2 linked regions of the Nothobranchius furzeri genome follow. The protein of the gene in region 1 purifies or fractionates together with the protein of each later gene. This does not show direct contact. Links are inferred from orthologs where the notes say so. Each region holds a gene or a part of one and is shown on either strand. Other genes may lie near its edges.

Evidence for each region. Proteins that work in one complex are often made in the same cells at the same time.
Region 2: the proteins of inppl1a (region 1) and shc1 purify together in Homo sapiens (affinity purification with western blotting; 4 studies listed by BioGRID and IntAct, with this or other methods). This does not show direct contact. The link is inferred for Nothobranchius furzeri from reciprocal best matches to the Homo sapiens genes INPPL1 and SHC1.

The regions. Positions count from the first base shown.
Region 1 is NC_091753.1:34,084,742-34,088,259, reverse strand, and holds part of inppl1a (phosphatidylinositol 3,4,5-trisphosphate 5-phosphatase 2A), read left to right. Parts: intron 1-15; coding exon 16-97; intron 98-194; coding exon 195-284; intron 285-377; coding exon 378-491; intron 492-1,207; coding exon 1,208-1,384; intron 1,385-2,181; coding exon 2,182-2,337; intron 2,338-2,702; coding exon 2,703-2,787; intron 2,788-3,518. UniProt on the Homo sapiens protein: Phosphatidylinositol (PtdIns) phosphatase that specifically hydrolyzes the 5-phosphate of phosphatidylinositol-3,4,5-trisphosphate (PtdIns(3,4,5)P3) to produce PtdIns(3,4)P2, thereby negatively regulating the PI3K (phosphoinositide 3-kinase) pathways.
Region 2 is NC_091745.1:78,668,629-78,672,146, forward strand, and holds part of shc1 (SHC-transforming protein 1), read left to right. Parts: intron 1-59; coding exon 60-179; intron 180-1,774; coding exon 1,775-1,828; intron 1,829-2,145; coding exon 2,146-2,197; intron 2,198-3,518. UniProt on the Homo sapiens protein: Signaling adapter that couples activated growth factor receptors to signaling pathways. Participates in a signaling cascade initiated by activated KIT and KITLG/SCF.

The sequences.
Region 1 (3,518 bases):
TTTTCTCCGTCCCAGATGAGGACGAATGTCCCCTCCTGGTGTGACAGGATCTTGTGGAAATCGTACCCAGAAACTCACATTGTGTGTAACTCTTACGGTGAGTCAGAGGTCCTTCAAACGGAGCTAGAAGCAGGATTTATGGTTAATATAGCTATTTGTTTACTGCTTGGTGGGTAATTATTTGTCTTATTAAGGGTGCACTGATGACCTCGTGACCAGTGACCATTCCCCTGTGTTTGCTACATTTGAGGTTGGAGTGACATCACAGTTTGTTTCTAAAAAAGGTTCCAGTGACTGTTTCTATTCATAATTTTTCAAAATGATCTGTTATCCACTTTAAAACTTCTTCCTCCATCCCTCCTTCCCACCTCCTGCAGGTCTGCCAAAGTCTTCAGAGCAGGCCTACATCGAGTTTGAGAGCATCGAGGCCATCGTGAAGACGGCCAGCAGGACAAAGTTCTTCATCGAGTTCTACTCTACCTGTCTGGAAGGTGAGACAGACACGTCCTCTCAGCCTCCAAGGCAAACCAAACCAGGAATAATGGCTTAATAATAATAATAATAATAATAATAATAACAGATTGAACTTATATAGCGCTTTTCTAGACACCCAAAGACGCTTTCACACACACTCACATTCACACACTGCTAGTGATGGTAATCTACTTGTAGCCACAGCCGCCCTGGGGAGGTCTGACAGAGGCGAGGCTGCCATTTGGCGCCGTCGGCCCCTCTGACCACCACTAACACAGGCAAGTTGGGTGAAGTGTCTTGCCCAAGGACACAACAGCAGGATACCCCTGGCAGGATCTGGAATTGAACCCATGACCCTCCGATCATGAGGCAACCCGCTCTACCACCTGAGCTACTGCTGCCCCCGGCTTAGACGTGCTTTCTTTACCTCCAAGTGGACGCAATAATCCTGAGTCTGCTCTTTTTGCCTCATCCCACCCTCCCTCCCTCCCTCCCTCCTTCCCTCCCTCCCTCACTTCCTTCCTTCCTTCCTTTGTTCTTCCTTCTTACATCAGACAGTAAGAATCAACATGAATCCATTTTGACCTGTGCTACATGTTAACCTCCTGTCCTTTATGAAATTTTGACTGAAATGTGATTGATACGTCTCCCTCCGCCCCCTTATCCCCTTACCTCCGTACCCCCCCCCCCCCCCCCACTCTTCCCTGCGTTTCTTTATCCCTCTCATTTGAAGAGTTTAAGAAGAGCTACGAGAACGACAGCCAGAACAGCGACAATGTCAACTTCCTCCGTGTGGGCTGGTCCAACAAGCAGCTGACAACTCTCAAGCCCCTCCTCTCAGAGATCGAGTACCTGCAGGACCAGCATCTGCTGCTCACCGTCAAATCAGTGGACGGTTATGAGTCCTACGGTAAAGACTAGGGATGTCCCGATTCAACATTTTTCACTTCCGATACGATACCGATATTGCAGCCTTCGGTATGGACCCATACCGATATCAGCATAACCGATATGATATCAGCCCAAATCATACATGCTTTACGCATTTCGTAGTGTGGAATGTATAAAGGTAGAAAACGAAAGCCAGCAACAGTTCCGGTAAGTATAAAAAACTGACCCATTATTTATTAACCTTTGGTTGCATAAATGTGAACAGCTGAGGTTAGGGACATAAGGAAAGAAACAATATTGTTCACTGACCAACCGCTACAAGTTGTGTGTCAAAAGTTTCAATTTCACACTCTGCAAAAGTCCTCGTGCAATGTTTTGTGATCCTACTTCAAATGAAGCCACGATGAGGTTGGACATATTCATCTTCCCTGGTTCTGTTCCACCACGGGAAACTTGTGCATGACAAGTGTTGCACTGAGCCACACTGTCTTTTTCGGACATTAACGAAAAATACAGCCACATGGCCGACATTGTTCCTTGCTACTTTGCTAGCACACACTGTTCTGATCATGTGGACTTTGCATGCTGGATCTGAGCGCTGCTGGATAGAATTGTGGGAATGGAATTTAAAGCTGAACGTACGTACTGCTGATATCGGAGGTTTGTGATGCTGTCCCATATAAACCTGTACAGTGTTTCTGGGCTGATATCAATAGTAGAACGGGACATCCCTAGTAGACAGACTCTGTCTGCCAGTGAGTAGTCTTTTGTTTTTTTTTGTCGTCTGACCTCTACTCTCGTGTGTTTTTCTGTTAGGAGAGTGTGTGTTGGCGCTAAAGTCGATGATCGGCAGCACAGCCCAGCAGTTCCACACTTACTTGTCCCACCGAGGTGAAGAGACGGGAAATATCCGGGGTTCCATGAGGGTCCGAGTGCCCGCTGAGAGGATGGGAACCAGGGAGAGGCTGTACGGTAAGGCAGCAGTGGGTGTGTGGATGCAGGCAGCTATTAAAAAGCTAAAGTGGTAGCATGGAAAATCGGCTCTAAACTAACGCTGTTTTATAAATGCGCTTCTGTGTGAACGTTATTGACTGATGAGGACTGCTTCCTGAACAGCCTCTATTTGGAGAAGTAGTTATCGTCCTGAAGGACTGATGAGCTAAAAGCTCATTTTGGGGCAGTCAAAACTTTACGGCTAATTTTAAGAGATTGAAACTTTTTTGTGGTGTTTTGTCTAAAACCGCTCGCGTAGTAATTTATAACCTTTATGAAGAAACTAAAAACAAAACGGCCAAAAGACCGTTTAAGAATCTTAACAGTGTTTTATTGTATTTCAGAGTGGATCAGCGTGGACAACGATGAGACTGGAGGACCCAAAGGGAAATCCACCATGGTGTCCAGAGTGGGACACGATTATGTCAAGTCAGTTCAGTTCAGTGTAGCGGTTCGTTTTACTGGTGTGTGTTTGTCCACCGCCCGCTGGCAGAAACAGACTCATCACATCTGGTCCACATCGGTTCTTATGATCAATGTTTATGACGTAAACATGAAGACGTGGCTCTTTGGGTGCTGGTGCTCAGCTGTGGTGTGAAACTAAACCAGGCTGAGATGACCAGCTGTTGGTGATCACAGAAGAGTCCGACAGCACAAACCACACGCTCAGACCCAGCAACTGAAGTCTTGATCTCTCCTATCATCGTTGATCCCTTTTGGTGTATATCATAGAAAAAATGTGTTAACTTTAATTATTCTGCTTCATATTTCACGATTACTGATTAAGCATAACATCTTTATGATGATTTTCTTCAACGATCTGCTCACATTTTGCACACACCACGTTTCCTGGAGGTGCTTCGTTGTTTAGGGTAAACGGTTTTTCTCTAAAGGGTAAAATGGTTTTTATTGTTCATCTGGTCTGAAAAAGGCGCCGTCGCCTATCGGAGTGGGATTGTTCCAACCACAGAGTTCAAGTTTCAGATGAGTCAGAATTGAAGAGACTAAAGAAAACACGTTCAAGAATCAAAGATTTATGATTTTACTTATTTTTATTTTATTTATTTATCTCAAACCATCGAAAACACCAAATTGCATATGCACTCCCCCATATTCCTGGTGCATAAAAAATTTTAAAAATGTGGAATACGATTAACATA
Region 2 (3,518 bases), on another chromosome or scaffold:
TGCTTTCTTTTTGCTCTGTACTTTGTAACTCATGGTTTGTACGTTTGTGCTTTTTGCAGCCCGCCCCTCGCGGTTTGATGTCCATCTTGGGAAAGAGTAACTTGCAGTTTGCGGGCATGACAATCAACCTCACCATCTCGACCAGCAGCCTCAATCTGCTGGCTTCTGACTGCAAAGAGGTTAGACGGAAAGCCGTTTGTTGGAGACTCTGCTGTTTTCTGAAGAGATCTCTGAGCTGATGTGTTCCTGAAGGTCGTGAGTCAGAGATTCACCTGATTTTATGAGTTTTCTGCTCTAGCTTGAGTAGAGTAGAGTTTCATGTGGTTCCACAGAGGTTGGTAACCTAAACTTGGACTGTGAACACATTAATAGCCAATAAAACCAATCAGGAGGACGTAAAGCGGGGGTAGGCCGATGAGACGTTATATTTTTCTTGCTTGAAACACTTTTCCTACACTCTTACCGATGACAACTGCTAAATCAATTTTTTGTTAAAAAATTTTTGAAATATTTAATTGCTTCTGAAACCCTGGAAAACCTCATCCATTCATGGTGAACGTTTTGGATATTAATGACTGAGCAGGGCTTCCTGGTGTAACCGACGGAACGTTGCTTTTCCTTTTGAAGTCTGGTTCTGTTGCTGCTGGGAAACATTTCAGAGACGGACTTACTGTCTGGGAACGAAGCCTGTCCTCTGTCGGCTGGTGGAGCCATCAGTCAGTTGCCTTGGCAACGCTCGTGTGACGGGAGGCTCGGGTTGGGTTGTGGACCGGTTGTTTGTGGGGTTTTCCCCAGACTGTTGGTGGTACCGAGCTTTGTGATGTTGAAGTTAATAAAAAACCACGAAAGCTAAAAGTCGTCTCGTTTTTCATCAAAACAACGCCTCGCTGTGATAGCTAGCATGTTAAGTTGTTATGCGGTTACTTAGGTGTGTTGTGTTAGGAGTTATGGCACTGAAGGTGCCAACAACGGGTCGAAAACACAAATCAGGAACAAGGATTTCACGTTTCTGTATACTGAAGGTGTGGCTTAAGGGGGGAAAGGGGGTTGGTTGGACCTTCCAGTTGTGAATTTTCAGAAAGTAGTTAGCTTGATCAAGAAAAGCATCTCCTGTCCCACTTATAGGTTCATGCTACACCTCATACCATCTTCAGCTCGTTCGGACCACAGCCGGCACAAAAATGGCTCCAACCTCCAAAACTGTGGCTTTATTTGTTAAAAGTTTAGCGTTCTGGGACTTTCCGACTTCGATAGCTAAACGGTTCTGATCTCTATCCCAGCTGAATGCTTTGATGAGAACAGGTCATTTAGTGAAACCCAGATTAACCCGAGTCATCCCACTTGGTTTGCTCTTAATGCAACACAAACTCCTCCTGACTGACCGTGGTATTTGGAGCTGGCACCCGACAGGATGCGATTCTCTCCTCGGGCCCCTAATGAGCTAATAGCCGCTGAGTGGTGCCTATCTTTGGGATGGCGGTATGTTGGTGTGGAGCATTAACACACAGAATGAGCATGTTGTAGAGCACGCGTCCACAGATGAGGAAGCAGACACAAACCACTCTGTTGAGCATCATCCACCCTTAATGCCGTTATTGATTCAGCACGGGTGGCTGTTGCAGACGGGTAAAAAGGTGCTCCATCCGAGCAGCAGCTTTCTCCGTAACGATCCCAGACTCCGCTCTCCATCCACACACTTTTATTTCACTTCCCACAGACTTCCTCACATCCATTCTCTCTTCTCATTCTGCCTTATTGTTATTTTTCTCTGCAGATTATCGCCAATCATCACATGCAGTCCATCTCCTTTGCTTCAGGAGGAGACCCAGTGAGTCCCCCCCCCCCCTCTTTCTTTCAGCTCAAATCTCACTCTGGCCTTTCTTCAAGTGGCATGTTCTTCCTTCCTGTCTGAGTTCCACTTGCTCTGCTGCTGCCTCACTGGCCTCCATCGCATCACTTCCTGCTGCTGTTTTCCAACTCGCATTCAAAACTTGTTATGACTAAAGCTTCGGTGTTGTCTCTTTTCCCGTGTTTCTTCTCCTTCTCAGTCCTTTCAATCTCAAACCTGGCCTTCACTTTTTCCTTGTATTGATTTTTCCCTCTCTGCTCCTCCTCTAACCGCACTCCCCCGTCTCGCTCCCACAGGATACAGCTGAGTACGTAGCATATGTGGCCAAAGATCCAGTCAACCACAGAGGTGAGCAGCAAAAAAAAATCCAAACATTTCTGCAGAGGTTGGCAGGGGCGCCTCCAGAAAATTTTGGTAGGGGTGGCCAGATGGGGCCAAAGAAATTTTTGGGGTGGCACACCTAATTGGTCCTTGTGGTAACTGGGAGAGTTTAGTCTGTGGAGATGTGCTGCATTGCGCCTTTATTCATTTTTATAAAAGTAACAGTACGTATCCAAAACATTTACTTTAAATTTTACAAACACAAACGTTTTAGAAAAATGCATTTCAGTTTTTTTAAAATGTTACCCCAATTTTTATTAAATTTTTTTAGGTTTATTCACCTGTGTGTTGCTGTGTTCACAAAAAAAAACTACGGTGATAAAAAAAAAAATTTTAATGGTGAGCAGCAGAAACAAATGTATATTTTTTTATTCTGATTATTTCTTTACTCATTAATTATAATATTTTTATTTTGTTTTACAATTATGTCCTGAATAAACAAGATAAATATGGTTTGACTGAACATTAATATGATTTGTTAACACTGGCTTTTCCTGGGGGGGGCAGCAATTTTCTAGGGGTGGCCATGGCCACCCCTGGCCACCCCTTGGGGGCGCCCTTGGAGGTTGGACATGTCAGTTAGAACAAAATCAGAGATTTATTTCGTTTCTGTAGACCTTCATCACATCCTCTCACCCAGGAGTCCGCCGTTTCCTGTGTCGACTTAGAGCAGTTTGGTTAATCAGAACTTCAAATGACATTTTCAGCAAGTACTGTAAATAAATGGGGCACGGTTTTTTCATTGGAACTTAAATGAGTCACATCGTGCTCATGAAAGGCTCATCTGCTTTGGCGTCACAAACCCAGTGAGCAGAGACACGGAGGAGGTTAGGGATGTGAGGATAAACGCACAGATGCAGCCGTGGGCCCACGCACTTCTCAGATTTAGTCTAGATGCATCCGTTTATCTCGGTTTTGCATCAATAACATCGATTAGGTAAAAGGTTTATGAGCAGTTTGAAAAGTAAAAGTTTATTTCTGTGTGTGACGATCGGAGCTCGCATTTATCTCTTGTTCTAGTCTCCAACTCTTCTTCTGATGCCATTCCTGCCGTTTAGCTCTTTTTAACAGGTTTTTTTATATTATGCATCAAAGGTGAGAAACATACAGTATTAGTCGAGTCTTCTGCCCCTATTTCCTGCATTAACCACCGACAGAAAACAGGGACAGGGACACGCTCGAGTCTGAAAACGTCACACTCCTTTAGACAGGAAACCGCAGAGAACGTCTCAGCCAGTAGAAGCTAACCGTTAGCATTAGCAACTCCACCACACAGCAGAACTCCTCT